Rattus norvegicus: one gene and its partner. The protein of the gene in region 1 purifies or fractionates together with the protein of each later gene. This does not show direct contact. Links are inferred from orthologs where the notes say so. Each region holds a gene or a part of one and is shown on either strand. Other genes may lie near its edges. The genes, in order: Stx11 and Vamp8.

The links.
Region 2: the proteins of Stx11 (region 1) and Vamp8 purify together in Homo sapiens (co-immunoprecipitation; 3 studies listed by BioGRID and IntAct, counting the BioPlex papers as one, with this or other methods). This does not show direct contact. The link is inferred for Rattus norvegicus from reciprocal best matches to the Homo sapiens genes STX11 and VAMP8.

The regions. Positions count from the first base shown.
Region 1 is NC_086019.1:9,137,225-9,141,547, forward strand, and holds the start of Stx11 (syntaxin-11), read right to left. Parts: upstream 2,996-4,323; 5' UTR 2,927-2,995; exon of another isoform or gene 2,804-2,926; intron 1-2,803. UniProt on the Homo sapiens protein: SNARE that acts to regulate protein transport between late endosomes and the trans-Golgi network.
Region 2 is NC_086022.1:106,002,843-106,007,277, reverse strand, and holds the start of Vamp8 (vesicle-associated membrane protein 8), read left to right. Parts: upstream 1-1,635; 5' UTR 1,636-1,773; coding exon 1,774-1,776; intron 1,777-3,966; coding exon 3,967-4,122; intron 4,123-4,435. UniProt on the Homo sapiens protein: SNAREs, soluble N-ethylmaleimide-sensitive factor-attachment protein receptors, are essential proteins for fusion of cellular membranes.

The DNA of each region.
Region 1 (4,323 bases):
TCTTGACCACAGAAACTGTTTCTGTCCTTGGCACTGCTGTTCCTTCTGCTGGGTCACCTTCCAATCCAAGCTCCTGGACAACCCTCATCTACAGTTAGGCTCACTGTTTAATAAATGCTTTCTTTCCACTAACCACGAGTCAGATGGGTACCCAAGCCCAGGAACGCCATACTGAATAACACTTCATCTTTTTTCTTTCCTCTAGAAGATGTGGCTCTGAGGCTGCGGAGGGAGCGATGAGACAGAGGTGAAAGATGTGGTAATGGAGCCTTTTACTAGTTGGCCACCTCAGAGGACTGGGAAATTAACCCTCAGGGATCTGAGCCAAGAGACTGTGGTGAACGCCTGACACCTATTTCTGCTGTTCTCCGTGCATGCGTATTTAAGATAAAGTTTAAATTCATAAATTATGCACAGTAAGAGATGAACAAGAATTAATAGTGGAGCAATTACAACGATATGGTTCTAATTAATTTGGTGTGGATGTATTCCCTCTCTCAGAGCATCATCTCACTGCCAAGTGTGGTGGCACACACCTTTAATACGAGTTCTCAGGAGGCAGAAGCGGGCAGAGAGATAGCTGTGGATTCTAGGTCAGCCAGGGCTACGCGGTGAGACCACGTCTCAAGTAAAATAAATAGATGCATACTATTATTGCTGGAACTTTCTATTTCACGTTTCAGAGCTCGGGTAATAAAAATCAAGGAAGTGAAGCCAGTCCTCAGATAAGGAACAACCGATGAGCAGAAAGCCACCAATGGCTCGTAAGTCACTCCCTGTTGTTTAAAAGACACAGGAAAGTGCCCATAAGTGCCCAGGGATGATAACAGACTGGGTTTGCTTTCACACAGCTACCGAGCAATACAAAACACGGTTAATTCAAACACTTTAAACGCCACGCCTCACTAGTATGTTCTTTAAATCATACACATATGCACATACAAATATGCTTTTCAAATCATGTATGTATTGAGTGAAAACCTGGCTGCCAACCAAGACAAGCAGATGATGGGAACCCAGACTTTCCTTTGCTGTCCCAAGAGTGATCCAGGATATTCTGATCCTCCACACTGGGGCGCCTCCTTTGGGTGTAAATTTCTCACAGCACCTGCTGGCATTTCTTCTAGGCTCTGCCCCACAGTTACCTGGCAACAGCCAAATATACCTGACTCAGTATAAAAGGGGCTGCTTGCCCCCTCCTCACTCTTTTGCTCTTTGTCCCTTTTCTCCCCATTCTCCTCTACCCGCCTCTATACCTGATCAAAGCCTGCCTCTACTCTCTATTCTTCCTCCTTCTCTTCCTCCTCCTCCTCCTTCCTCTCTCTCTGTCTCTGTCTCTGTCTCTCTCTGTGTCTCTCTCTGTCTCTGTTTCTCTCTGTCTCTCTGTCTCTGTCTCTGTCTCTGTCTCTGTCTCTGTCTCTGTCTCTCTCTCTCTCTCTCTCCTTTCTCTGTTTCTTCTACCCCGTCCACTCCCCTCCCCATGCCCTAAATAAACTCTATTCTATACTCTTATACTATACCATGTATGGATGGTCCCTCAGGGGAAAGGGATGCCTCAGCATGGACCCACAGAGGCACCCCCTTCCCCCACACCTCTACTAAACATATCCCTGACTTCTTTTTCTTTTTTATAAAACACAATAGCACCCATCTCACAATGTTGGATTTCCAGGAAAATCAGCTCAGCTGTGGCTCTGGCTGTCAGGATAGCACTGTGCCTGGGATTGTACACATGGAACTTGAGGAAAAGAACAGACCAGAACCTTGTAACTGCTGTCTAGGGCTGACCTCAGCTCAGCCAAGATACACAGTTATTCTTGCCTCTGCTTAGCTTCTAGATAGGGAAGTCTGTTTCTAAGAGCATATTAATGTCTGGCTCTAGCAACCATCTACTTTCTTCAAAAGCTTCTCTCTATATTTTTTAAAGTACTAACTTGGTAAAAAAAATAAACTTTCTGAAATATTTTAAATTTCGGAGTAACTTACAATCACTCCACTAAATGCCCAGTTTCTACCAACCAGTGAAAACAAATGGTTATTGGATAATGGAATTAATTTTCTCTTCAGCTTCTGTGGGAAAGCACATGATTTTAAGGGTTATCTCAGATCGGCCTAGTGACCCTAGCTGGCATGTTGTCCCATCAGACGCTCTAGGAAACTGAAAACTTGAATAGCTACTTCCTAGGCCGCCTGCCCCAGTTTGACAGCACCAGACTCATCTCCGTTCTTATTCTAAGTACAGGGATCCAACCTCGCTTTTCAAAAGCGTATTAACAAAGCCTTGCAATTATAGTCGCCTTCTGACTCATTTGTGGATACCCGTGTAGAAACAACAGCTCCTCCCTCTGCTGAGAAATGCTCTACTAAGTGTGAGAGAGCCACAGGAAGTAAAACGCAGGTCTCAGCTGGTCTCGGCCAAAGAAGCCAAAAGAATTCCGTAGTGTGGTTCTTTAAGCAAAGCCACCAGATCGCTCCCCCCTAAAACAAACTCCCCCAAATCTTCTGTGCGGGCTGTTTCAACGCCTTATCAATGTTCCCATATTTCCTGGCTCCTGAGTCATACTGTCAAGTTCAAGTGGAGAAGTGCCCATTCTGATGTGCTTGAGAAAGTGGCAACCAAACGGAAAAGAAGCACCTCCATTCAATAAAACAATAAAACTGACTACACCAGTCATTTCTGAAGCACTTCTGATAAAGCCTTAGATTCTCAAAGACTTAAAAAGCTTTTGGCTCTAGGAGTGAAACCCAAAGCCGCGTCCTGAAGGTACCTAGAGGCGCAGAGGGAACCACACCCCAAACCCACCTGCTGCTGGGCAGCATCCCTGCCCTGGGCCAGTGAGGTCCGCCACTCCAGCCAGCCCCGCACCCGGGTCCCCGATGCCCAAAGAGTTTGAGAACCAAAGCACACTCCCGTGACGAAACGAACCGTGATCCGGCGGGGCGCTGATCCAGCGTCCGGACGCCGGGAGGACACGCAATGCTCGCGTCCCGGAGGCTCTGCCTCTTCTGCTTCTTGATGGCCAGGGCTGCGCTTCTCAGCCGGGTCCGAGCTCTGCGCCACCCCGGCCGCATCTGGCGCTGCTGGCTCCGCCCCCACCGCGCTGAGCCTGCACAGCTGGGGGACCAGGCCCCGCCCCGGGGACGCCCTGGGCTGGGCGCGCAGTTTCTCGTCCTCACGGACGAGAGTCGCCACGGTGCGGGTGGCTGAGAACCTAGACACGAGCCTCCCTCCACTGCTGTGCGCCCCGAGATGCTGCGGGCGACCGTGTGGACCACCCGGGAAACTTCCTCTGTCTTCTTCGGTGCTCTGGGATGGAGAGATGGGCGGAGCGGGATTCGTCGGACTTTCCAAGGGAAAACCCCTCGGCATGAATGACATTTGCAGTCCAGAGCATTTCCGAGGCTAGGACGCTAGAAACCGTTTCTGAGCGTGGGTGTGGCTGCGCCTGCAGAGACCCGCGCGATGGTTGAACCGGAGGTTGTGGATCTTGAAGACACTGAGCCCCGCCTTCCACTAGTCCCTTCCCGCCTGCTGTCAGTGGGGCATCCACGGGTACTGCCACGACCTCGTCCTCGTAGCCTGACACCCTACTAGAGACTCGGAAAGAGAAAAGGGGCTTTCGGGTGAGCGGATGGGAAGCCTCTGGACAAACACGGCGAAGGCTAACCATCTAAAACAGAAAAATGATGTGTGCATTGATGCTAGGAAGTCACCCAAAGAGCTCCGGGTGCCTAAAGCCGGAAGAATTTGAGGAACGAGGTGGCACTGGATGGTAACACAAAGTTATTCATCTAACGTGAACAGATGGCCGATGAAATAGGTCCACAAGTCTCCGGAGCAGAGCAACTTCAAGCAACCGAAGCAGAAACCCACTTTCTTGGAAAAGAAACTTGTCTCTCTGCACTCAATATAGAGAGCCTGCTCCTCTACATAGGGCTGTACAGAAAGGAGGAGGAAAGTAGTTTTTACCACACAGATAAATGATGTTGTGACAGTGAGCGGAGCTTGCCCCTGGTTCAACAACCACAAATCCACTTGCACACCCCCACTCCCACCCCCACCCCACGAAAATGCCTGACCAATCCTACTCACAGCTGTTGAAAGATCCTACGAGAAAAGAATCTTAACCGGCCACGGAAGATGCTGAGAAGGCTGGGAGGTGGGTTTCGGAATTAAACAAAAACAAATCGGTGGGAGACGGCTCAGAACTTGATGTTCTTGCGGAGGACCTGAGTGCGATTCACAGCACCAACATGGTGCCTCTCCTAACCTCTGTGGGTGCCGGTCGCACACATGATATGTACACGGTAGATGGAGGCAAA
Region 2 (4,435 bases), on another chromosome or scaffold:
GGAATCAATTTGGGTCCTCCGGAAGGGACCAATGGACCACCTCTCCAGGACCTATTTCTTTCTTTGTGACCTCTTGAGCCGTGCCACTTAGCAGGATGGTAAGGACCTCATTTAGAACTGACAGTCTCTTAGCCTTTTGCCTAAGATCAAGTGTAGTAGAACAGACATTCTCTGTTGTGATCTCATTCCTGTTTATTCTAGATTTTTCTTTTGCTTATAGGGAAGGAAAGGGCTTGTGCCATTTTAAGGCATTACTAGGGGGCTAGAGAGCGAGTTCAGCAGCTAAGAGCATGTGCTACTCTCACTGAAGGGTTAAGCTCCCAGCACCCACATCAGGCAGCCCACAACTGCCTGTAACTTACCAGAGAACCTAACCCAGCCGCCCTGCACACACACATGCGCACACTTAAAAATAATAATGATAAATCTTTGTTTAAAGATTTTTTTTAAAGTGTTACTAGTTGCTTCAATTTGCTTCTGTAAAACTAAGCATGCAGTGTTTGTAGATGTAGCTCCTCCCTGAGTCCCTGAGCATGTACAAGGGAAAACACAAAAGTGTCTTAAAATGATTCCGAGATTCTAAATTTATTATAGCAAAAAGAAAAAAAAAAAAAAAGAAGACTTATTTGTTGGAGGAGCTAAGATTTCCTCCTTGACAATGTTATTTATTCTGGGGTGGGAAAGAATGTGTGTTCTCTTGGTGCCCTGTTATTGTTCTGTCTTGACAAACTCCATCCGGAGAAGAGCAGATTTTCTCTGGCGGAAAGCCACGTGTGGTGGAAAAACCCTTTCCGCTTAGGCCCCCTCCTAATCCATCTGACTCCTGACCAGGGTCACTAACCCCCACGGTGACCTTTGGAAGGAAATGCCGGACTGCTGAACTCCAGAAGGAAAGGAGGGGCTGGTGAGTGATCCATTTCCCTGACTGTCTCCTGTCCTGTGACAAGGCTAAGGTGCCCTGCCCCTGCTGTTTGTACTCCTCCTACTGCTGGAGGTCAACCTCAGCAACGAAGAATCCAAAGAGGAGGGCAAAGATTCCCCCAGGGCCAACTTGGAACTTTCCTGGAGATTTTAAAGACTTTAATTATGTGTATGTGTGTGTGTGTGTGTGTGTGTGTGTGTGCACATGTGTGTTCACATACCCTCAGAGGCCAGAAGAGGGCATCCGGACCCCCTAGAGCTGCGATACAGGTGTTTGTGAGCAGCCAGGTGTGGGTGCGGGACCTGAACTTGGGTCACTGCAGAAGCACCAGGTGATCTCAACTGCCCAGCCATCTCTCCAGCCCCGTTTTCTGGGGATTAAAATCCTCACTAAAGTGCTCTCTTCTCATCCAGGATGGCTCAGAGACAAAGGTTGCCCAGCAAGATTTTTTCACCTGTATATTCGTTGCTATCTAAATAAGGCTAATTTAAGTCAAAAAAACTAGAATTACTCCTTTGAAGCACAAAAAGAAGTTACTGAAAACTTAGCAGGGTTGTTGATCCTTCTTTTCTCCTTCTTGACAACTTAGACGCTTTCCCCTCCCCCACTCCCCTGCCCTGTTGCTTAAGCTTTTGTTTAGGAGGAGACTAGGAGGAGGGCAGTAGAGGGCGGCCGCCTACCTGGAGAAACCTGCAGTTAGTTACGTGTGACAGGAGCCCGAGAGGCTGGAGTCGCGGGATGGGCAGGAGGCGGGCAGAAAGTTGGAGTAAGCAGGAAGTGAAGCTGTAGCTGCCTTGGGTGGAAACAGACTAGGCGAAGTTCTGCTTTGAGAGGCCCAAGTGCTCCGAGACATGGTGAGTGACGTGGGGACTAGGAAAGAGAGATTTAGAGGAGCGGGATCGGGCCTGGGGGTTGCCTGTGTCGAGATAGGTAAGTTGGCGGCCGTCAGTAGGCTGGCCGGGTTGGGCCAGCGCTGCCTCTCTCTCCTTACTTTTGACAACTCGTCTACAAATAGCTCCGCACTCCGGGCCAGGGGTTCCCGACACTTCTCCACCTCCTTCTTCCCATGACCTCGGTGCTGGATGGGATCAGGGTTTCGGTGGGGGCTGGGGAACCCAAATTCCAAGCCGAGCTGCTGCGCCGCGCCCTCCCCCTCCTCCGCCTCCTCCAGCTGGGCCTGAGCCGGGTGTTGTGACATTACCGGACCACAAGTGCTCCTGCTCTTTGGTGTTCAGATTCCAGCCCAGCGGACTGGAGTTCTCCCCCCTTAGCCTCGCACTGTATCTACGCAGACACGCAGAGGATCTGCCTGGCCACAAAAAGCACCCCTCTTCTCTAGAAACATTAGCAACAGTGCCAAGGGTTTGTAAAGAAGCCAGATGGCGGTTCTCCCTGATAATCTAGCTTCAGCCCACACCCACGGCCAGTACCACGGCCCCCTGGGTCCCTAAGGGAGGAGTCAGGCCTTTTTCCTCCTTGTTCAAAAGCTTTATCTAGAGGCCTCCTGGAAGAAGACCTCAGCAGGAAGAACTTTTGTTAATATCTACATAAGCAGGCGGTGGTGTGCGGCCTACCAGGCGCTAAATTGTGGGGAAAGCAGAAGTGTGCGGTCCAACGGCACACGATGCCTTCTGGGGGCCACACCGACTGAACCAGGGTTACACTGCCCAGCAAGCTGGAACCAGAATTCACCAACAGCTGTCTGGAGAGGAACTTGGGTTGGGCCAGGCAAGGGTCCTTCTGCTGGCCAGCTCTCAGAGTTTTAGAGAGAACCCACTAGGACTGGGAAGAGGGAGGCTATGGGGACCAGTTAATAGTACTTTTCTGGGGCTGGGGATTTAGCTCAGTGGTAGAGCGCTTACCTAGGAAGCGCAAGGCCCTGGGTTCGATCCCCAGCTCCGAAAAAAAGAACCAAAAAAAAAAAAAAAATAGTACTTTTCTGTGCTCTGCTGAGGAGAACGGAAATCCAGTTCTGTTTTCTCCCCGACCCTCTTTGTGGTGTCAAAATGGGAGCAGTTGTGTGCTGTTTTTTCCTTGTCACCCTGAAACCCCCGAAGGTGGTTTGCAGTCCAGAATCAAATCTCATCTTCTGGGACTTAAAAAAAATGTCCTTATATGGCAGCCAAGATGGTTGGGTAGGTAAAAGTGCTTGCAGAGCAAGCCTGTCTGCCTGAATTCAATATCCTTCTCACTCCTGTCTGTCCAACTCTAGGAGACAATCCACTCATGAGAGTTGTCCTTTAACCTCCACATGTGTGCCATGGCATACATGTATATTCCCCAACACACACTTACTGATAATGTGTGTGCACACCCACGTATACACACCACACACACATACACACACACTGCACTTATGCCAGACTAAGGATGCGGTTCAGCTAACAGAGTGTTTGCCTGGCAAGCATGAAGCTCAGGGTTTGATCCCCAGCACCTGATAAAACAGGGGTGATGGGGCACATCTGTAATCTCAGCACAGGGTAAGTCAAGACCGGAGGATCAGATGTTCAAGGTCATCCTACTTAGGAAGTTTGAGGCTGGCCTAGGTTATATGAGACCCTGTCTCGGATAAATAAATTAATAAATCTGGGGAGGTGGCTCAGTGGACAAAGTGCTTGCCACATAAGCATGGAGATTTGACTTGGGTCCCTAGACCCATTTAGAAGAAAAGAAAACTCCAGGTGCGGTGGTGCAAGCACTCAGGTGCAGTGGCTCCCAGCACTCGGATGGTAGAGAAGGCTTTCTGTCCACCCTAATCTCAGAACCCCCGGCCAACAGAAGACCCAGCCTCTGGGAACAAAACCAAAAACCAAATGGCTGCTGAGGAATGACACCTGAGGCTGATCTGGGACATACACGCGCTTGCACCCACGTGAACGTTTCCATAGAACATTCCCCTTGTAAACAACTGAAGTATTAGAAGTGGCTAAAATCTCGGGTTGGGGATTTAGCTCAGTGGTAGAGCTACTTTGGTCCTTCCAACCTCCTCTGGCCTCTTGGATCCTCTGCTGCCCAGCCTAATTAACCCCTGTATTGACCTGCAGGAGGCCAGTGGGAGTGCCGGAAATGACCGAGTCAGGAACCTGCAGAGTGAGGTGGAGGGAGTCAAGAATATTATGACCCAGAATGTGGAGCGGATCTTGGCCCGAGGGGAGAACCTGGACCATCTCCGAAACAAGACAGAGGACTTGGAAGCCACGGTGAGGTTGGGAGAAAACTAGGAGTGGGGGGGAGAGATCTTGTAGGGAGAGAGAAGTTTTGGGGGGAAGGTAAAGTGAACAGAAGGGACACAGACTGTCGTGTCTACTGCCCTTTCGCCCATGAGGGAGATTGTTGAGTTCCCACCTCTAGCTCCTTGCTACTCTGCTGGTTGGTAGAGAGCCCAGTGAGTGGATCCATTTGGGCTTGAGCAAGGGGTCCACCCACAGAGCCATTTCTGAGACAGTTCAGTCAACTGCTACATTCCTAAGCTTCTTTGGGGTATGAAACTGATTTTTCTTTTAAAGCTTGTCC